Struthio camelus: one gene and its partner. The protein of the gene in region 1 interacts with the protein of each later gene in a biochemical or structural test. Links are inferred from orthologs where the notes say so. Each region holds a gene or a part of one and is shown in the gene's direction. Other genes may lie near its edges.

Region 1 (11,411 bases):
GCAATCTTTGCTTCTTTGAACGGTAAACACAGTGCAATCCCTTGGCGATACGAACTAAACAGATATATGCTACTTACTTTTAAAGTAAGAATTTGCTAACTGCATTTCACATAACATGTTATTTTTACTGTATAACTTCCCCTTGCTGTCATCTTTTGTTAGAATTTAACATCTGTGGAAACACCTAGATGTTCCAGGCTTTGCTCATAGCTTTGCTCAGTCACACATGTAAATGTAGATGCACATATCGGTAACTGCAGAATAATGCTCTTAAGTTGCAAAGCTCTCCAGTGAAGTGTATTATTTGTCTGTGGCCCAGTTTGTGGCTCTTGAGGAGTGATAAGAAATCAATAACAGACTTAGTCCAAAGGTTACTGGAGTCAGTGGAAAGGTCTCTCTTGTCCTCTGCAGAATCTGCATTATGTCCACAAAGCAAAGCTGTACACTGGCCCTAATTTGCCATCACAGTGATGCAAATTCTTATTTCCAGCTCTGACTGGGATTAAAACAACCCTTCATAGGTGAGTTCTTTGTTAATTCCACTTAAGTTTCACATTTCCGGCATGTTACCAGTTACGGAGACATACAAGAGTTTGATTCCCAAAGAGCAGCTTCTGTAAATGCCTTCAAAATGAGCTTTGTTTTCAATGGGAGGGGGAAGCCAATGCGAACAAATGGTGTAACTAACATTTCCTGCAATTATTTTCAACTCCTCTCATCATTACTGCTCTCTGCCTCGCTCCCCCCCAACCTATCAGCCTTGGACTCCTTGCTAAATCATTATAATTAGCACGTGCTGAAGGTTTCCAAGGGACATGTGCCCCCCCCCCCAAACTCCCCTTAGTATTACTTTTAGTGATTCCTCAGTTGGAGAAAGTTTGAAAACATCATCACCAGAGGTGAAGTAGAGTCGCTGCTTGCCTGGTGACTCACTCAGTTAACATTAAGCTGCCAGCTGCACTCTTAAAAGTGCTCAAAAAGCAAGCACATCATTCTAACAACCTCTTTGAACAAGCAAGTTGTGTTGAAGACGACAGCAACAACAGCCCTGCAAAAAATCCACAAATCATATACTGTCAAGCAGCCTTTTCCTTCTGCCAAACAGCAAGACAGTATCTAGGGGGCATTCTGCTTATAGATTTTAGACGTGCTGCCTTCAAGATGGGAATTGGTTGCTGTACAAATTTGTAGGGGAAACAGAAGACAAGAGAGGCTACCAGAGAAAGTACCCAAATATGGTTTCATCTGAAATCTTAAATGAGTCCTGAACACAATCTAAACATCGTGGCGTTATGGATCCTTCAGTTACAACATCAAACAATATGTAATCACAGAGGAATTCTGAATATTCCTCTCTCCCCTCTTTATAAAGTGGTGCCGTTCCATGATATCAGTAGCACTCAGGACAAATACGCCACATTCATCAGCCGCGTGAAGGGAAGAGGTAAATTTGTGTTGACGACTGGCCTGCTAGACAGCCTCATTTCACTGCACAGAACCTCAGCACTAAGACAGTACTGAAGGAGTTAACAGGCAAATCACAGAAATAGGGCTCGACAAGTTGCCAGCGGCAGCTCCCACAAGCCATCGTGCTGTCAGTTTTGATTGACGAGTCTGCAAACACAGAAAAATCATAGATTTGGCATGGAGATGTAGCTTCTCTTATCCTCCCTATGTAGACTAATTAAACAAGTTTGCTTTGTATCAAAGTGTTTACTATAGGCAGCTTGAGTATATTCAGTATATGAATTTTCATTAAAAGGTACTTAAGAACAGAGATCTGCAACTTTAATTTTGCTCAGAGAAAAAACCTTGCATAAAATGTTGTTTCAGATCTATCCAACGCAAAAAAAAAACAAAACCCAAACTGTTTTCTCAGATATATGAAAATCAAAGATCATTTTGGGTTATTGGAAACATTAGGAATATTTTGCACAACCTATTCTGAGGTTTAAAACTACATTTTAAAAATTTATCACAAAACTTAGGCCAATTTCAAAAACATAGCATCCATTTAGACCAAATATTTGTTTAGTTTAGAAAATACTAAGGAAAAACATTCTGATTTTTCCAATCTTTGCTTCCACCAAAAGGACGGAATGAATTCAACACAGTTAGTTGTCAGATATTTTAAACTTTTTTCAATGAGTAAGCCATATTTGTGTAAAAACGCTCCATTGCATTCCTTGAGCAGCAGACAGGCCTTATCAAGAACTACCTCTAGTCTACATTTACCTCTCTTGTGCTGGGATCAGACTCTTATTATTTATCATGGCAAATGCCACTGAGGATTTTACAGGAAGATAAAGAATATAGGAGAACCTAAGTGCAATACCCTTCCGGCAGGACTTTGCCATTGCTACAGAGCTGACTGGCTTCCTCCCCTCACTTGTATCCTCACTAAAGTGTCTCGTCTTGGACATCAGACGCAACGACCAAGTTCGCACCAGACAGGGCCCTAAAATTCACTATTAGAGGTATCATAGCATCTCACGAGATATTATACAACTTTGTTAACTGAATGTTTGCAAAGAACTTTGAGGTCCTTGGATGAAAGCAGGTCAGCTAACATCACAAACAGGACCCCTTCACTCTACTCCTGCGGCAGAGCAGGAGGAGTTATATATGAGAAATGGGGCTTTGCAGGCCAGGTGTTCATATTCCAGTGGCAGAGATGGGGCAGTGAACACGCCACTCGAGCAAGCCTTTGAAACACTCTCCTTTTTTGTATTGCTGCTCTTTCAGTTTGATTCACAACGGCAAATCATTACTGATTCAAATTTAGTCCCCAACAGCATCAGTAGCATTTCTGTAATGTTTAATTGGTCCCCAAATACCTTTTAGATTGCTGTTTCGCATCACCATCTCTTTCCATTGCAACTAGCTGGATGAACCCAAGTTCATTTTTGAAGTAGCATAAACTGGATTGCTTTAGACTGAGATGTTTTTGGACCCTGAACATTCTCTGAGTGGGAAAGTGCGTCTCAATGAGCGGCAGGCAGCCAAAGTCTATTCCCATTCACACCAGCACAAGCCTAGGTCATTCCCCTGCACTTCAGGAGGGATACCTAAGCCCAAATTTGCCTTTGGGAACCAGCAATTACCGTTGACGCATCACGACTACATCTGGCATGCTGACTCTGCATCATTTATTACTTCTCTGATTCTCAGTCTAATAGCGTCGTAAATATCCACACCACAGTGAAGTGGTGCAACCACTCACTTGGTTGCACTCAGCGAGCTCCTGAGGAACTGCTAAAGACCATTTCTGTTTAGAAGTGTGCAAATCTATAGCGTTTTTCTTTCAAAGTGCTGAATGAAATTTCTCTGTTCAAGAGTGACTGACACATGGCTTTTTATCCATACTTCAGTAAGATTCATTTGGTGAGATGCTCTGTTGTAGTCTGTTGTCAAAGGCACAACATGCAGAAGAACGTAATTAACTAAAGATCCAGTGAAGTCTTTGATTTTTAGAGTACGTTGCAGCATGTTAGCATGCTTACCACAACTCACTGTAGGCAGTCCTTCTCACTATATGGTTATCGTCCAACAGCAAGCTATTATTTTAAGACTTTAATCATTGTATTTACCATTTTAATAAGCCTTTAAGATTATCCATCTGAAAATTAGCAGTTACGGAAGCTACGGCAAAGCTTTTCTTTTTTAAGAAAAGACCTTGCTGCTCAGGAGCCTCCCTCTCCCTTGCCCGACTCTTACCACTTCGGAATGACAGGACAGGAGGGGCCCGAGCTGCCAGGGTCGGTCATCAGGGCCTCACGGCCAGGCAGAGAGTCCATCCCGAACGCTGGGCAGCCCCAGCGCTGTGAAATCCCCTGCAGACGCCCGCTCCCAGACCCTCGGCGGTTCTCAGACATGCTTGTTGTGCCATCTGGCGGCAGCCGCTTCTCCCCACCTACCCGCTCCTCGCCACCGCCCTTCACCGCCTTGGCAAGCCACGCTTGTGCTGAACAAGGAACAGAGCAGAACGCACCCCCCCGGCAGGAACAAGACAACCCAAGTGCTAGAGAGCCCCCCCTCCACCAAGCCCTGCATCTGCTCTCGCCTTTTGGGGGGCTTATTCCCACTCTCACCCTTCTGAACTCTTTCCCTCCCATCCAAACATAGGTCTCACTGCCCACCTAGATCTCTCCGAGTCTTTCCAGTCCCCCAGAGACACACGTACTGCTGGAGGAGTCCTTCCCCGGCTCAGTGTGTTACAAATCGCTGGCCTGAACAGAGGCCTGGCCAAAAGGAGCAAGATAACAACCAAGGGGCAGCAATTTGGTTCCCCCTGTCTTGCCCAGAACACAAGCATGGCTCAGTGCTAGGAAACAGCCGAGCTCCAGCAAATCCAGAAAGATCACGACACGTCTATTAATTGAAGCCCCAATTCCACATATAGGTCTATCCAATGAGAAACCCCAGAAGCCTTGATGAGATGTGTACGGTAAAAGGCTTTGCCAGCTCAATATTGAGTATACTGAGTTCATCTTGGCAGGCCTCTTCCATGTGTGGTTAAACCCTTCTCACTAAGGTTGGAAGAGGCCAAAAATATATTTTTCTATACAACAACATCAGTAGAAATGTAAGCTGGTTACTTCTGTTTTTCCCCTTTTCATCCATGAAGTACCTTCCTTCTTTACATATACTGCTCCTTTAAACTCCAGTCCCTATAGATGAGAATTTTTCAAGTTTTAAAATAAAAATCATAACACTTAAAAAACACATTCAGATTTTTAAGAACTAGGGGTACTATAGCCCCTTAACTTAAGGAAAAAAGTTAAGTCATACCTTTAAAAAAAAAGCTTAACAGCTTATAATTTGCCTGACTGCACTGCTAGGAGAGTATCTGATCAGAGTAGCTTTTGCAGCATCCTAAAGCCTCTTCTCAGCTTTTAAAATCAGAGGAATTGAGTCTGTGTTTTGCATGCAAAACAGGAAGGTGATTGTAACTTGTTTTCTACGTTATTTCCATAGCCTCCTGATTCTCTCTTCATAATCGAATCAAGACTGCATTGTTTTGAAAAGCAAAGCATAACGGGTCTCAGCAGGAAACTGCAGATTTAAAAATTCAGATAGTTTGGCTATTTATAACATTCAATTACTCCTCTGGTTAAATTAGTTCAGTTTCAAGACTTTAATTTCTCATTATGCTTTTGATGGATTATGGAACTATACAAGCAAAACAGGTCAAATTCACTGGTGACGTGAAAGGTGCTGAAGATGGTCACATAATAGTCAGCCTATAAAGATGAGATTGCAGGAATGAGAGCAGAATTTAGGACAGCTCACAAAACAGTTTGTGGATAAACCACATATCTCAGGTGGGACCGTTCAATAAATATCCTTTAGCTAAGATTTGAAGACCTTGGGGGTTGGGTACCTAGGAGCAATTTGTGCCTTGGAAAATTCCCCAGGATCCCTGCTGAGAACGGAGATGCCCGAACTTCAGGCATGAGACTGTGGGACGTTAGCAACGATGCTCCACCTTGAACGGATGGGACTTAAGCGTAAGGAGCGCTGCCTGAGATATAGGAAAGTCTCTGCCTTCAAAAGCCTGTAATCTTGACAGATGAAGCAGTTGTACGATTGCACCCTTCTTTCCTCTGCGCGCTGGGGAAGGGGGGACAGCACAGAGCACCGCCCGAGCGAGCAGTAACGAGCATCGAAAGGGGATACGAACAAGCTTTCGTCCTTGCGTCCCACAGCCGTCTGTCGGGCGGCATGGGGCCGAAGCAGGCTGTCCTGGGAGTCCCGGCCCCTGCGAGCAGCGCGCAATCCGGCACGGCCGCCCGCGGCCTGCAACAGCTTCTCTCGAAGGGCGCGGCGGGCTAGGAAAAGGAACCGGGCCGTCCACCCACCCGGCCCTCCCCCCACCGGGCCCTCCCTCCACCCGGCCGTCCCCCCACCGGGCCGTCCACCCACCGGGCCCTCCACCCACCCACCGGGCCTCCACCCACCGGGTCCTCCACCCACCCGGCCCTCCCTCCACCGGGCCGTCCACCCTCCGGGCCCTCCCTCCACCGGGCCGTCCACCCACCCACCGGGCCCTCCCCCCACCGGGCCCTCCCGCCACCGGGCCGCTCGCTCCTCCCGGCGGGATCAGCAGTCCCTCTGCCGCCCGGCCCGGGCCTGCGCTCCGGGAAACGCCGCGCCGGCGCCGGGCCGGGCCCCGCTCCCAGCCGGGCCTCCCGCCGCCGCTCCCGGCGGGGACCTCCAGGCAGCCTGCGGCGCAGGGGGGCCGCCAGCCCCAGCCCCAGCCCCAGCCCCAGCCCCAGCCCCAGCCGGCCCCACGGCTGCCCCGCGCCGCGCCGCGCCGCGCCGCCTCCATCGACAGCTCTGCGCTTGGCAGAGCGCGCCTTGCCCGGCCCCGCCCCCTGCCGTCCGCACGAGCCCGCCCGCCCCTGCCCATTGGTAGCTCGGTGCTCGCCGCCGGGATCCCCGGCGGGCTGGGGCGCGGCCGGCCGGGGGCTGCCCCGCCGCCGAAGGCAGAGACGCGCACCCGGCGGCTGCGAGCCGAGCCGAGCCGAGCCAGGCCACAGCCGGCCGGGGGCTCAGCGCGCCCGTGCTGCCAGCGCCCCGGTGCGCCGTAGGCGAGGGGGAGCCGCCAGCGGCCCGCGACCGCGCGAAGCCCCGCCCCGCCCCGCCCCGCGCGAGCTGCCGACTGCGCCTGCGCGCCGCCGCCCCGCCCCGCGCGAGCTGCCGACTGCGCCTGCGCGCCGCCGCCCCGCCCCGCGCGAGCTGCCGACTGCGCCTGCGCGCCGCCGCCCCGCCCCGCGCGAGCTGCCGACTGCGCCTGCGCGCCGCCGCCCCGCCCCGCGCGAGCTGCCGACTGCGCCTGCGCGCCGCCGCCGCCGCCCCGCCGAGAGGCGCCGCGCTGCAGGCCCCGCCGGCCCTGGCCCTGGCCCTGGCCGCTCGGCCCCGGCGGCGCCGCTGGAGGACCGGGGGGCTCCAGCCTTGCGCCGCTGCCGGTTCCCTGCAGGCGGGGCGATGCCCGCGCCGCGCTGCCCGGCCCCGGCCGCGGCCGCAGCTCGGCGGTGAGCCGTGCCCCGCGGACGGCCCTCGCCATGGCCTCCAGCTGCCCGCCGCCTTTCGGCGACCCGGGCGACGTGAGAGAAGGGTTCCTGTGCCCGCTCTGCCTCAAGGACCTTCAGTCCTTCTACCAGCTGCAGTCGCACTACGAGGAGGAGCACTCCGGCGAGGACGGGGATGTCCGAGGGCAGCTCAGAAGTGAGGCCTGGCGGCGCGTTTGGCGCTTTCCTTTTTGTCTGGTAAAATTCCCTGCAGCCGAAGCTGCTGGTGCTGCAGACCCTCAGGATGGCTAGTAGTACTGAAATACTAATGGAAGTGAGTTACGGCGGGGGCAGGGCTCCGTTTCCCCGTGAAAGGACTTACGCTAAGGCGTAGTTAATACGTTATTCTTCACTCGCTACTTTTAGTGGTGTTTTAGAATTTACATACTGAAAGTAGTCACTTAGAAGGCCTGACTCTGCAGGTATCTGATTGCGTGTACTGTGTACATGTTATTGGCTTTGTTTATTTATTTTTTAACCTGAGCACTCTCAAATTCATGCTGTAACCCAGATAAATTCTTCAGCTAACACTTGGGATTTCACAGAACATAGGTAATCTCCGGTCTTGCCAGGTACCAACTCATTAATCCCCTATTTCTGACAGTGAGGCGAAGTGTAAAGTTAAGGACGGTTGGTGGTAGATAAACATAGACAAGAACATGGCTGGAGGTGCTGGCTGAGGGAGGGCAGTAGATAGATGCTGAGAGTATCCCAGAGTTGCGCTCCAGATCACCAACTTTCACTGGTGTCTGGAAAATCCCTTTGGATTCTTTTTCAACTAAAATACTGCTTCCTTGGTTTCTCTTTTGTCTACACTGTGTCATTTTTACATGGAGAGAGAAATGTGCAGAGCAGTGGGTATTTTCTGTCTTCCTTGCAAAAATCTTTTCATTGTTACTTTATTATAATAGAGATAGCACCCTGGCAGTTTTTAATTTTTACCTTCTTTTTTAATGAGATTGGTGGCTATTGTTTCAAAAGTCTCTCTTGTAAGTGAAGTTCCTGTTTTTAATAACCTATCTTAAGAGTAGTACGATTGAATGTTTTATTTAAAAAATATATGTACAACATATATTTTATAAAAAGTTGCTTTCCATCAGTCTGGCTGCTACTTGGCTTTTAGCACTGTGCTCTTCTTGGACAGTGAAGGCAGACTGGTCAGTACTGCATCACGTTCTCATCATGGGCACAGTGCTGTAATAGCTGAATCGCAGGCGCTTCAGTGGAGTGTTTAAACCAGAACAGCAATAGGGTTTGCATTGCACTAAGAGGAAAGAAAACAACAACAACTTAGGCTTGGTAAGATTTCCCAAATGCTTTCTTTTATTTAATGCAGAACACCTGCATTTTGATTTTGTTCTCTCTGTAGTATTCTTTTAAAGTAGTGTATTGCGCCTTCTCAGGCACAGGTCTTTCATCTGTGTGTTGATATCAAGAATGTTGTTTTTATTTGCTTACTTTCTGTCCTAGCTCTACCCAGTGAAGTCCCTCCCAGACAGAAGGCCAACAAAACTATCTTTTCCCTTAAACAAGGGACTAGAGTTCAAACCGTATATCACGAGTAGTTATGTGATTTTGTGCCGAATTCAGAGTATCCTAACTGTGGAGCTATAAGGTGACTTCTAGTCATTTCTAGTACTTTGAGTGAGTCATACAGAGGTACTTGTGTTTGATTTTGTTACGAAAGACATTATGAAGTCTGCTTGAAAACCTTTTGTGTCTGTGGCAAAACCATGAGGCATCGCGAATTCTTTTTGTGTATGTCTCACTTACTATATTTCCTGTTTATATGGTGTAAACCTCACCTAAGAAACTGCAGTGTTCAGCTAGCATTTGCCATGTTGCCTTGGGAGTATTTTGGGGAAAGGTGGGAGGAGAAATCCTGTTTCTGCGATGATGTTACAATGCTAGCAAAGCCTTTGCCAGCCTGACGGGGACACAGCTTTGTTGACAAGAGTGTTTCATTTCAGTGAGTGTCGTTTTGTGAGGAAGCATAACTTCAGCAGCTGAAAAACTTCAGTTAGTAAGTATGATGCCTGCACGAAGGGGTGCTGCTGGCACAGCTGTAGTGACTGAAACTCCCGAACAGAGGCTCTGGTGCAGTTGAGGTGGAAGTTCTAGTGTTTTGGATACTACATAAGGAAAGTAGAAACCTGAAGGGACTTGCTAACTCATGGTTCCCAGCACCGTGTCAGAAACCTTGAAGTATAAAAGACTTAATTCTAGGAGAAATTGAATGTCTTCTGCAAGAAAATTAGCACCCTTCAAATTCTGCTAGCTTCCAAAGAGGAACATAGCTGCAAGGGGGATAAAAGCTCTCAAGTTTCAAATTCCTAGTCCTCCTTTTGGCCCAGTAGACTGTCCTCCTCTCACTAGCGTTACTATGAGGTAACGGAATGGGCCGCATAGTACTTGGGAAACTATCTAGATATAGTTTGCAGTTAGTACAAAAATGGAGAAAAGAAGGTTCTGAGCATCCTTGAATCCTCAGAAAATCATTCGGAATGAAGAGCTGTTATATGTATGGTGGCCCAGCATGTTATGGAGTGGGTCTCATAAGTTAATGCTGCTTTAGTCAACAGCTTACTGTTTTGCAGTTAAGTCTCAGAATGGTGCGTCTAAAACTACTGCTTTGTCATTAGGAGCTTAGTGCTACTTTATAACAGACAACAAACACCGTTTCATATTGGCTGTGGTTCTCTGGACCGTGCTCTGGTTCCAAACAGGCTAGGTTATATTGGCGTAAAAATCAAAAATATTAATAATAAACTTGTCATCAAGGAAAAAGACTTGTGCTCAAAGATCAGAGGAGTATTCTATACTGGCTTCAAATGACAAATATTCAGTGACTAACTGTCGGGTGCTTGACATGCGGGTCTGTCTTTTCCAGATCTAGTCCAGAAGGCTAAAAGAGCGAAGAAGAAATTGCTGAAACGAGAAGATGATCGAACTGATTCTGGGTCTCAGGAACGATATGAGTCGTTTAGCTATGGTGGAGTAGATCCGTACATGTGGGAGCCCCAAGAACTCGGTAAGAGAACTAGGAAGCGATATGCAGCGCGGATAATTTTTTCTTTTAATCTTAATTGGGGAAAATGCTACAGTATTGCTGAAGCTGCATGAAGTTGTCTGTATTGCATTTGATTCATAGATCAAATGCTACAGCATGGAGTGATGGCTTGCATGTGGTTTCTTGCACCCTACCTATGTTATATAGGGTGACTGGGAAACTGCAGATAATGCAAGGGAAAAAAAACCTGCACCAGGACCCCAACTGACATTTGGAGCAAGATGGTTATATTTGTCATGTCATTGTGCCTGAGCTGTTGAGTCCTGCTGCATACACGTGTTTACCTCCGGATCTAGCTTTGTTGAGGTGTCCTGCAACCATCGTTTGGCTTTTTACAAAACAGATAATCCACTAATCAATAATTAAACTATAGCCATACAAAATCTCTGACTTTTAGGTTATACTTAAAGTCGATGTTAGTTGACGTGCCTGACAGAAAGCTTGTCCCTTCACTTGAACTTTTTCATTTTTTTGCTTGGAAGGAAGAGGTTTTCTTTAATAAAAACAAACAACAAAAAACCCAGCTCTGGATATAGACTAAACTTTGCAGAAGTTCAAAAGTGTGTTGACTGATCCTGTAATTACAAATAGCGCTACTAGAAATTGCGCTTTACTGTTACTGAACTGTTACAGTTATTTGCAGGGGAGGAAAGGGAGGCAGTGCTATTACTGGTGGGTCCTGGGAAGGTTTTCCCTGTGCTGCTGACAGCCTGGGACTTAGTCCTGTGGGTCTGCCAGAGTCTGAGTTCTGTAGATGATTGTACTTTTAACTTGGACTCTTTCAGCAGCAATCATAAGTATAAATATTAGCTAAGAATAAATTTAGGCTGTGAATTAGCAGAAGGCTTCTACGCATTAGAGAAGTGAGAACTCTTTCCTGACGGAAGCAGGGAAGATAAACCTTACGGATTTTTAGGATAGGATTTGGTGGGTTTGTGAAAGGGACCTTCTGATGTGTGCGACAGCAGAGTGTGAACTCAGTTACCTAGAGGGGCCCTTCCATTCCTGTGAATGTGGCTTTGGAGTTTTTTGTGCATCTCATTAGAATGAGGAAAAGAGATCACCTTAAATTCTTATAAACAGTTAGCGTCAAAGAGAAACATCTGATTTTATGTTCTACCTGTCCCATTACGGAGGAACAATTATTTCTGTATTTTATCTGTAACTTTGATTTTTAATATCTGGCTTATGTTATTCAGAAAAGGATCAAAACTCTACCCCGGCGTTGTTAGTTTTGAATTGTACGCTGCTTAAATTAATTCTGTATT
Region 2 (11,338 bases), on another chromosome or scaffold:
AAGGGAGGGAAGGAGCGAGGCGAGTGCAGAGGCTGTAATTATGCTTATTGGAGGCACCGCAGCAGAGCAGGGGAAGGCGAAGGTGCTAGGGGGCTGGACCTGCCCCCTGAGCCAAACCGGCTCCGCTCGTGCCCCAGCTGGTGCTGCCGGCCACAAAAACAAGCTGGCCGGAGCGCAGGCCGCTCCCCGGGCCGCAGGCAGCCTCTGCCAGGGCAGGGTGAGCCAGAGGTGCACGGGGAGCAGTGCCCTGCGTTGGGGGGCTGCAATGCCAGGGCACAAGCAGCCATTTCCTGCAAAACACTGCTGAGGGACCGAGTTTGCAGTGCGGCAGCTGCCCGGACAGGGGCAGCGGCAGTGGGAGGCCCCCCAGGTGGCGGGGAGCTGAGCCGAGGTGAGCCGAGCAGCCCCAGGAGCCGCGCCGTCCCGGCCGGCCTCGGTGGGTGTCTGGCCTCGGCAGCGGCTAACGCGCAGCTGCCTTGGCTGTGCCCCACGGCCCTGGGCTCCCTGTAATGCCCGACGTGGGCCAGGAAGGGAAAGGAGGATGGAGACAAGCATTTTGGGCAGAGTGGGAAGTCCTGGGAGCGGATGGCACCAGAGCAGCATCACTGCACGTTCAAATCAACCCGCCTAACCCAGGGCATCTCTAGCTTGCTGGATCTGCAATCTCTGCAGGCGAGACACAGCCTCTTGCTGAGACTTCCCTTGCAAAGTAGAGTAGATCAGCCTGGCTTCACCATAGCTTCACCACATCCAGCCTCTGCTGCTCGCTTCATTCTCCTGCTGGTCACCTCCCTTCCCGTCTCCTGGGGGCATTCGGTGCCCTGATGACCCTGAGCCCAGCTGCCCGCTGAGCGTCGGGTATGGCGGTGGACGGCTGTTTGGGGAGGGAGCTCTTCCCAGCCTCTCCCAGCGCCCACCACCCTCCTGGCAGCTGCGGCCGTTCGGGGCCCCGTGGTGGCGGGTCCCTGGCTGGGGGGACGGCGGGCGGCGCTGCCTGGCCCGGCGGCAGCTCGTGGGTTCACCCGCCTGCCCCGCTCCCCAGACCTCGCTGGTGCACCTGCTGAAGACGGTGCGGCTGCTGCGGCTGCTGCGGCTGCTGCAGAAGCTGGACCGCTACTCGCAGTACAGCGCCATGGTGCTCACGCTGCTCATGTCCATGTTCGCGCTGCTGGCCCACTGGATGGCATGCATCTGGTACGTCATCGGCCGCAAGGAGCTGGAGAGCAATGACCCCCTGACCTGGGACATCGGTGAGCGGGGCCGGTGCGGCACTGGCTGCACGGGGCGGGGGGTGAGCGCCGCACGCCCGGGCCGCCCGGGACCGCTGCCCGCAGGAGGCAGCAGCCTCATGAGGCAGCAGCGGCGGGTTGGAGCCCTCCTGGCTGGCTGCCGCGGAGGGCAGGGACGGGGCTGCGTGGGCCCCGCGCCCGGCGCTGACCCCCGGCTCTGCTTGGCAGGCTGGCTGCACGAGCTGGGCAAGAGGCTGGAGGCTCCCTACGTCAACAGCTCGGTGGGGGGCCCCTCCATCCGCAGCGCCTACATCGCCTCCCTCTACTTCACCCTCAGCAGCCTGACCAGCGTGGGCTTCGGCAACGTCTGTGCCAACACCGACGCCGAGAAGATCTTCTCCATCTGCACCATGCTCATCGGGGGTGAGGCGGGGAGCGGGGCTGGCTCGGGGACCCGTTGCGGGTGCCGATGGGCGCGTGCCCGCGGCCCAGCCCCCGTGCGGGGCGAGGGGAAGCTCCCCACGTTGCTGCGGGGCAGAGCCCCCGGTGCTGGCCTGACGCTGCCCTCCCGGCCCCCAGCACTGATGCACGCCGTGGTCTTCGGCAACGTCACGGCCATCATCCAGCGCATGTACTCGCGCCGCTCGCTCTATCACACCCGCATGAAGGACCTCAAGGACTTCATCCGCGTCCACCGCCTCCCCCAGCAGCTCAAGCAGCGGATGCTGGAGTATTTCCAGACCACCTGGTCGGTGAACAACGGCATCGATGCGAACGAGGTAGGAGCTGTTGGTGGCGCTGGGCCAGTCCTGCTCCCACTGCCCATCCTGCACCCTGAGCGTGCACTGATGGAGCCGGCCAGGCCAGCTCTGCGGGTGCAAGCATGCACCTGTGCACACATGTGAGTGTGCAAAGGTGCATGCACACATGCTGCTGCTGGGGGGATCAGCGCTGCAAGCTGGGACTGGGCCACGACTCCTGCCAGCACGGGGAGCAGGGACGTGCACGGGGAGCAGAGAGAGCCGATTACAACAGCCAGAGGTGTCATGGGCTTGCCAGCCAGGCGCTGCTGGGCTCTGGCGAGGGCACCCCAGCTTGCTGCGCTGCACGATGCCCCATTGCTGGCAGGGGATCTCTCCCCCGGGGGCGGCAGGTCCAGCAGGGGAAGCCTGCTCTCCCTTCGCCCCACGTGTGCACCACCAGCGTCCCGACTCCGCTCCCCCAGCTGCTGCACGACTTCCCCGACGAGCTGCGGGCAGACGTGGCCATGCACCTGAACAAGGACATCCTGCAGCTGCCCGTCTTCGAGACGGCCAGCCGGGGCTGCCTGCGCTCCCTCTCGCTGCACATCAAGACCTCGTTCTGCGCCCCGGGCGAGTACCTGCTGCGCCAGGGCGACGCGCTGCAGGCCAACTACTTCGTCTGCTCCGGCTCCCTGGAAGTCCTGCGGGACAACGTGGTGCTGGCCATCCTGGGTGAGGGCAGCGGGCCCTGCTGCACGCGTGGACTGGGTGGCAGCTCAGGTGCCCTCACACCGCAGGGCTGTGACCGATCCCCTCCCGCAGGCAAAGGGGACTTGATCGGAGCCGACCTGCCAAGCAAGGACCAAGTGATCAAGACCAACGCAGATGTGAAGGCGCTGACCTACTGCGACCTGCAGTACATCGGGCTGCGGGGGCTCTGCGAGGTGCTGCAACTCTACCCCGAGTACGCCAGCAAGTTCACGGCTGACATCCACCAGGACCTCACCTTCAACCTGCGGGAGGGCAGCGAGATGGAGGTGGGTGCGTGTCCTGCCCCTGCACCAGCCCTGCCTCCCCCAGCGGCCGCCCTGGGGCGGGATGCCCCCGCGCAAGGCCGGCAGCGGCTGCGAGGATGCGAGGAGCTGGTGCTGGCTGGGACCTGCAGCCCTGCTGGGGAGCAGGGACGCTGTGCCACCCCGGCCATGCAGGCACAGCCTGGCTTCTCCTAGCTGCGAGCAGCTTGGCGAGTTTGCAATCGAGAGCATTTGCACTGTGGAAAGCCGAGGCGGATGCAAGGCTTGCAGACCGGGGCAGCGAGCGAGCCCTGGCAGAGTTCGGCGAAGGCTGCGCAGTGCCGTGGTGCAACGACAGGAGCAGGGGAAGGAGGGGGCGAGGGGCTGCAGCCTGGCGAGCCCCGGGGCCGGCAGTGGGCCCCCGCAGCCCCGCGTCCACATGCCGACGGGTCCGTGTGCTCTCTCCCCAGGGGCTCCTCCGCTACGCCCGGTCCCCGCGGCTGGCGCAGGCAGCACAGGTTGGTGCCCGGCTGGGGGGGCGAGCAGGGTGGGGGCAGCGTGGCTGGCCTCGGCACCCAACACAGGTACGGCCCTGACCTCCCTGCGCCCACCCGCAGCCGTGTCCGGACACTGGTGGCACCCCGGAGAAGCCCCTGCCCTCCATCCTCGAGGACGACGAGGAACCCGATGACGTTTTCCAGCGCTCACCCACCACCATCACCCGCCGCAAGCTGCTGCTGCCCAGCTTCAGCAGCCCAGTGCGCCGTGGGTCCCTCAGCAGCCTGCTGGGTGATGAGCTGTGCCAGCTCTCAGCCCTGCGGCGCAACTGCCGCTCGCCAGCCCACTGCAGCCGGGGCCACAGCCCCTCTCCACGGTGCCGGCGGGATGCCCTGCTCTCGGACAGGGAGGCCGGCAGTGGCAGGAAGCCAGCCAAGCTGCTGATACCGTCCCTGCACAGCTTTGGCCCCCCGGACCTCAGCCCCAGGTAAGGCTGGTGCATGCTGGTGGGTCTCATGCACCACGCGTGTCTGTGCATACGGGGCCACAGGCCACGCATGCGCACTTTGCCGTGTGTGTGTGCGGGAGAGGGCAGCCCCCTCCCCACATTGCACACACTGTCCTCTCCGGTGCTCCCCGTCCCGTGCACACGCGTGGCTGCATGGTGGGCTCCGCTCCGCTCCACCAGGCCGGCCCGGGACTCGCCCCCGGTCTGCACCCTCTCCCCTGCCCTAGGGTGGTGGATGGCATTGAAGACGACGGGGGCACGTCGGAGGCACAAACCTTCTGCTTCAATGTGGACCCACCACTGCAGAGCGCCTCGAGGGACTCCTCGACGTCAGGTACCTGCGGCGTCAGGCCAGGCTGGGCTGCGGCAGGGCTGGAGGGGCTCTGCCAGGGGCAGGAGCGAGCAGCGAGGGCAGGGCGAGCCCCGGGGCCGTCCCGGGCCCTCGTGCTCCTGCTTGGGGGCTGCAAGGGGGGAAGCAGAAGGGGCAGTGCATCCCTTGGGGAGCTCTGCCAGGCTGAAACCGGTGGTGGTTTTCTGGCAGGGACCGACCCGGCCAGCCCAGGCCTGGACATGGAGGCAGAGGAGATAAAGCAGAACGTCCGGAGACTCAACCAGGAGGTACGGGGAGGTGCCGGGGCCCCTGGGGTGGGCACGTCTCCCGGACGGCTGCGCCGGGGAAGGCGGCCGGTCCCGGCGGCAGGCTGCGCGGCACGCCGGCGGCGCGGGGCTGCTCACGGCGCGGCCGTGCCCCCGGCTCTCCGTGCCTTTGCAGATCAACCACCTCAACCAGGAGGTCTCCCACCTCAGCCGGGAGCTGCAGCGCATGATGGAGCTGCTGCAGGGCCGGCTGGGCGCGCCGCTGCCCGCCTGCCCCTACGGCCTCCCCGGGGCCGCCGCCGCCCCGGGGCCGGGGCCGGTGCCGCCAGAGCCGCCCGGCCCCCGCAGCTCGGCCGCCGCCGGTCCCCGGGGCAGCGGCGGCCCCGGGCGCAGCCGCTCGGCGCAGGCGGCCCCCGCGCAGCCCCGGGCGCCCCGTCGAGCCGCGGCCGCGCCGCCCCTCTCGCCGCCGCCCGCCCGCTCGCCCCACTCCTCCGCCGGCTGCTCGGCCCGCCCGCCGCCCCCGGCCCGCCCGCAGCTCCGCTCCGGCCCCGCCGCCTCCCACTGACCCCGGCGCGCCGGCCGCGGCCGCGGGGCTCCGGGCAGCGCGCAGCCCCCGCCGCCGCCGCCGGTGCCGGCCCGGTGCCGTCTGCGCGCTGGCCGCTCTCCTCGGCCAGCCGGCGGACGGGTCCCGCCTGCAGCGCCCTCCTCGCTGCCCCTCCGCCGAGCCCCGGCCTCCGAAACCAGCAGGGATTTTGATACGCTTTTGATACTCTTTTCCCGCGGTTTGGGCTTTTTTTTCTTTTTCTTTTTTTTTTGGTAAGCCGGACCCCGCTGTCCCGCCCTGCTCCCCGGCCCCGGCGCCGCCGTCTGCGGCAGCAGCCTGACGGCCCCGGGCGTTTTGGGGGGCTCCGGGCGCTTTCGAGGCAGCGGCTCCCAAGAGACATCGCGGCCGGCACCGAGGCCTCGCGGCGGCGGCGGCCCTGGAGCTGTTGCCGTCCCCGCCGGCCGCTGCTCCGCTCTGGGCCGCGGCCCCTTCCTTCACGTTTTTCAGGGCTCTGATTGCTGTAGTTTTATTTTTTTACCCCCCGACGGTCCCTTTTGCAGACTGCAGCCCCCAGCCCTGCCTCGCCCTCCCACACCTCCCCGGCATGCCCTCTCCTTCCTGCGCGCCCCTACCCGCCCCCAAACTGCACAGACACACGTGGGAAATAAAAGCTCTATTTTTACAGCCCCTGGCTCCGGGTGGCTCATTTAGCCCCGGGCCGGGACTGCTCTTTGCCCTGCTCTGCGGTGGGACGGAGAAGGGGGGGGACGCGGGGCGCTGGGATCCCCTGAAGCACCAGCAGCCTCAGCTTCTGCCCCCCCCCCCAATGCACAAGGTTCCCTGTGCACCCGGATCCCCACCCAAGCACTGGGATCCCCATGCAACTGGACACCCCCCCCCTTGCACCAGGACTCCCCCTCTTGCACCTGGATCCCCATGCACCTGGACCCCCCCCCCCTTGCACCGGGACCCCTCCCTTTCACCAGGACTCCCCGTCTTGCACCCGGATCCTCATGCACCTGGACCCCTCCTTGCACCGGGCCCCCCCCTTGCGCCGGGACCCCCCCCCCTTGCACCCGGATCCCCTCTTGCACCGGACCCCTCCCCTTGCACCGAGATTCCTCCTTGCACCGGGATTCCCCCTTGTATCCGGATCCCCCCTTTCAGCGGGACCCCCCCTTGCACCGGGACCCCCCCTTGCACCGGGATCCCCCATTCCGGACATCCCCCCATGCACTGGGATTCCCCCTTTGCACCAGGCTCTCCCGTGCCCCGAGTTTCCCCTGGCCCAGGGATTCCCCCCGGGATCCCCCAGGATCCCAACGCCTCAGGCTCCCCGGGGATCCCCGAGCTGCCCCGGGACTACAACTCCCATCGTCCCCCGCGGGGGAAAGGGCTACGTCGTGTCGTCACTCAGCCCCCGCCCCTCGCGTGAGGCGGTGCGTCCGGAGTGGGGGAGGAGCGCCGGTGAGGGGGCGGGGCGAATTTGATTGGCAGGCGCCGCTGCCTGTCGGCGGGGAGCGGAAGGGGGGTGGGCGGATCCGGAAGCGGAACGGGTGAAAGGCGGAAGTGAAGGCCGGAGCCTGCGGGACTCACCTGAGGCGGGGGGCGAGCAGCGGCGGCGGGGCCGGGGCCGGCGCGGTGAGTGCGGCCGGCGCCCGGGGAGGCTGCGGTGGCGGCGGCGCGGGGCCCGGGGCCCGCCCGGCCGCGCTCCCCCCCCCGCCTGGGCTGGACCGGGATCCTGCGGGGTGGGGCGCGGCCTGCGGGGGCCGGGGCCGGGGGGGGCCGGCGCGGCGCGGCCTGGCCGCCGCTGGCCGGACCCGCTGGGCCGGGAGCGGGCAGCCGGCGGGGGCCGGGAGCGGGGCCGCCGCCCGGCCCGGCTCCGGCCGCGCTGTCCGCTCGGGCCGGCTCGGCGCTGGAGGACTCGCGCTCTCTGCCTCACCCGAGGGATGGGCCCCGGCGAGCCGTGCAGTAAGGGCGCCCGAGCGGGGGTAGGAGCAGCCCGGTCTTGCGGCAGGTTAGTGCGGGGTCAGTACCCGTGCGAGGCAGGGGAGTGAACTTTGCTGGCCCGCGGGAGACCGGCCTTGTGGACGTGGAGAGTGAAGCTGGTGTTGTAGTGCTCTGCAGCCAGCAAAGGCAGCTCTGCTCGCCCGAAGGATCAGCATGTCAAAGTCGACAGCCTGTAATCTGATGAAGATGTAAGACTGGCTTCCTGCAAATTCAGATCTGACTCTCTTAATAATGCTCTTCAATATTGTTTTTCCTTATAAATAAGAAAGGCTTGGGCTCACTTAACAGTGAGTGCAAGCACTTGCTGTCAGTATTCTGAGGGTCTGTGTGAATGCTGTTTCTCAATCCCTTTGTCTCTTTCGTAGTGCTGTGTTTTAGAGGTGACTGTGTGGAACTTAAATGGGACTTGGGGGAGGGGTGGCCCCTGTAGGGGTAGAAGTGATATAATATTTTGTTGCAGTTAGTGAACTGCTGAAGTCGGCATAGAAACTCTAGAAGAGTCTGAAAGACTAGCTGGGCTCTGAAGTAGAAAACTGTTTAAATGAAGCATGTGACTTTAACTGCTGAAAATAGGTTCCAGGGGAATTGAGGCATCTCTGGATTCCTGCTGATGAAAATCACTGCCCCTGTGTCCTCCAAGGGACAGATGTGAAATGAAGTATGTGGTGCTGCAGGCTCTTGAATGAGGAACGGAGCTGGCAAGAAAAACCCAAATGCTCAGACGTAAGACCGTCCACAGCTCTTCTGTGCAGCAGAAGAGTCAATGCTGTGTTTAAACTGAGGATAGTCAACATGTGATCCTGTATAGACTGGCATAGTGCAGAAATAAGGGTGAGCTAACAGGTTTGTAATGCCAGAACCTGCAAAAGTTGCTTGAGCTGTGTTCCTGATAATGTTCAAGGTGCTCTTAAAACTCACTGAAGCATGGGAGCCATGACAACTCAGTTGCTGCTCTAACCAACGTTGACTTTTCCCTGTAAAATGCACTGCCTGTGAGATCAAATACAGTGTTGACCTGCTCTCAGTTGACTTTTAACTTGTTGTTTCTGTACGTGGTTGTTCACACCTCTGACCTTGGTAGTTTCCAAACATGTAAGGAAAGCAAAGCGAAGAGAGTACACTGAGGTACTATTTTAAGTTTATGTGGAGCAACATGCATCTACTATTCTTAGTGTTTTGTGTGGTGGGTCTCTAAATATGTGAGCTGCCCTGCTTATAGCATGACATCAATCCTAGTTTGCACTAAGTTAGGACTCCTGAGCTCGCTCTAAAGGCAGTGGCTACAGAGCTTGATTGAGACCGAAAAATAAAATCATACTTCTGATTCATATTGGGTTAGCCTGCCCTGCTGTGAATGAACTCCCTTGGAATAGCTCATTTATATTCATTGCTGCCTTGACTCTGAAGTTTTTTGGGCTGAGTTTTCAATTTAATGGGATGAGATAGAAGAGCAGTGACTGAAAAAGCTGTAGAGAGCTATGAGTCAACATTGGTTTTAATGCCTCCTTGGAGTAAGGAAAGCAGGTAAAGCACTGTGCTACACAGACCTGTAAGGTTAAGAACAGGTGTGCTTAGACTCATTAGTACTGAGAATCAGTTGTTATAATCCATCTCAAACTTCTCTTGAGTAAACTAGATATCTCAACAGTATGCCCAAATAGTCAAGTACTCTCCATAGCAAAATCTGCCTTTAGAGGCAGTCTTTCACCCTTAGTATATTACAGGTTAATTCAGACTACATTCATGTTAAGATAGTTCCTGGCAGTGCAGGTCCTTTAAGAAGGCAGTTTAGGCTCTAATACCTTTCCAGGTTGGGGAGCAATGTAAGCTAAAGTGGGACTTCTGAAGAAGGATTTAAATTGCTAGAACTGTAAGGGAAAAGGTTAACCTCATGTATGGATATGAGCTTAGTAAAATCAAAGTTTGTCTGGTTTTACTCTGAATAGAGTTGGGTTTAGCTCAGTCTGCTCTGTTAATGAAATGACTAATGGACTGGGCTCATGTCTAAAACAACTGTCTAGTAACAAATTCATACTCTGCCTGCTTGGCAAACTAAATCACTGTGCGGAGGAGTGGGGAGGAAGTGGAATTGTCTCCATCTTGGCAAAGCAGCTCTGCATCTAGAGAGGGATCAGTTAGAGGCTTTCCATAGGCCATGCTGGTCATATCAATTCTTGTGATCCTAACTTTCTAGGCTGCTGCATGTTTAGGTGATAGGTGGCCATGGCAGCTCCCTAAAAAGGGAGGGAAAAGAATGCCAAGTACTTTCAGACACAGGAAATGAAATGGGAACACTTCTCGTGAAGTGGGTGTAGCCTGAAGTCTTTTGGTCAGCATACTTAGGAGAGTAGAATGTAGAAATAGCAGAGTCAGCTGTTTTATTCCCTCGGGGTATGAAGTTTAAAGTAGTCTTATGCAAGTTCTGTTAAATCTTCAGAGTAAAGCTACAAAAACATTCCAAGTGCTAGCCGGAGGAAAAAGAGCCTTCCTGGCAATGACAATACCAGGGAAGAATAAAGCTTCATCTAAATCCTAAAAGGAACACTCTTTCTTCCTCTGAAGCACAGGAACAAACTCCTGGAATAGTTCTACATGAACAGATAAGAAAACACTGGTTTCCATGTTTGTTTTTATTCAGTAGTGTTCCAAATAAGGAACTGCTAGAGGCAGCAGATCTCTGTGCAGTCTGGAAAAGATATTATGAAGGTCACTGACTCTTTTGCAGTGAAGATGGCGGTTCTCTGCTTTGCACCGCTAATGATTTTGTTGTCCTGTTCACAAAACAGTAGATGTCATCTAAAGGTGTATGTTCCTGGGCTCCTGGTCAAAAATAGGCTGAGTCTCTCAAGGGTGTGCTAAACAGTAGGAGACAATACCAAAAACAGGAGGTATAAGAACCTTTCCTACAAGATTAAAAACTTGACTCTTCTGTTCAATTGCTAGTTGGTCCAGACTGTGCTCATGAATAACTTCCTCAGAATAGCTATGTCTCAACTTCTGTGAAATAGGACTAAGTTCTTGCGTTGTCAAGGATAACTAAAAGGAAATGAGACCTCCAAGAGGAGTTAATGTGGGGACAGGGGCTGCTTTGGTATCTGGAATAGGTAGCTTTGCGCCATCCAGCTAGGAAGAAGCTTACCTAAAATGAGGGTGATGTAAAACACTTCCATAGAAGTCAATGCTGCATTTTATGCCTTAATACTTAGTAGAAAGTTGCCACCTCTCTTGCTCCTTTCACAGCACGCTTTGCAAGTGTGTTATCCCCGTAGCTCCCCTAAATAGAGCTTGACCAAGGCAATACTGAAAGCTTGCGTTTATGGATCTTCTGTCACCATGACCGTGTGTGAGTTCACTTGCTATCATGTAAACAGAGCTGCAGGGTTAAGTGGCACTGGTTAGAATGTGTGTTCTAATATTATCCCTGTCACTTTCCTGATGTACAAGGAACAGGCAGAAGCACAATACCTCTGCCTGCTCTAATTGCATGTTTCTGTTCAGCCTATGGTGATCTAATAGGGCACTAACTGCAGTTTTGAAAGCAATTAGTCATGCTCCTCTCCAGAATTAAAACCCCCACTGGATTAGGCATGGAACTTCCTTGTAATGCCAGTGTTACCAAAATGATAACTTTTGTTGCTGATACTTATTCAACTGTCTCTTAAATATAGAAACCTGTAGCACCAAGGTAGCATCAGTAAGCATAACGTCTTATCACTTTATGAGACATTGCCAAAAACTTTTGGTAACTGCTTAAACCTAGGAAAATTTTTTTGGTAAAGGGATTGTGTATGGGGTTGAGCTGGCTAAAAAAAAAAGATTGAGAGAGCATAGGCATGTACATGAGCGCTCCATTGCCAAATTATACCTGCGCTATGGAAAGCGTCTGCGTGACAGTGCTGGAAGCTTGGTAATGGAAGGATTAAGGGTTAGTATTTGCCTGCTGTTGCACTAGGCTGGTGGTAGAGCTTCCTGCATCTGATTGGAGATATTAAAACTTGCATATAAAAGAGTTTGAGATGGAATTCTCCAGTGAGTTAAAACTGAATTTGAGTTTGCTCACACTTTTCTTTTGTCCCTTCTGGGGGTTTAATGTATTCCACACGGGGAACTGTTGATGTGTGTATGTGGCTCAGGGTTGTCTTAGGCTTGCAAAAAATCTGATCAAGATCTTAGATGCTGTAGAACTGAGATGCTGA

Evidence for each region.
Region 2: the proteins of RBSN (region 1) and RAB5C form a complex in vitro, tested with the Homo sapiens proteins (2 studies listed by BioGRID and IntAct, with this or other methods). The link is inferred for Struthio camelus from reciprocal best matches to the Homo sapiens genes RBSN and RAB5C.

What each region holds. Positions count from the first base shown.
Region 1 is NC_090955.1:452,096-463,506, reverse strand, and holds the start of RBSN (rabenosyn-5), read left to right. Parts: upstream 1-6,968; 5' UTR 6,969-7,067; coding exon 7,068-7,230; exon of another isoform or gene 7,231-7,347; intron 7,348-8,910; exon of another isoform or gene 8,911-9,096; intron 9,097-9,963; coding exon 9,964-10,104; intron 10,105-11,411. UniProt on the Homo sapiens protein: Rab4/Rab5 effector protein acting in early endocytic membrane fusion and membrane trafficking of recycling endosomes. Required for endosome fusion either homotypically or with clathrin coated vesicles.
Region 2 is NC_090966.1:7,567,623-7,578,960, reverse strand, and holds the start of RAB5C (ras-related protein Rab-5C), read left to right. Parts: upstream 1-6,601; 5' UTR 6,602-6,773; intron 6,774-11,338. Other genes in the region: KCNH4 (potassium voltage-gated channel subfamily H member 4), read left to right, coding at 1,043-1,250, 1,458-1,652, 1,809-2,008, 2,455-2,704, 2,795-3,009, 3,456-3,503, 3,603-3,970, 4,172-4,325 and 1 more. UniProt on the Homo sapiens protein: The small GTPases Rab are key regulators of intracellular membrane trafficking, from the formation of transport vesicles to their fusion with membranes.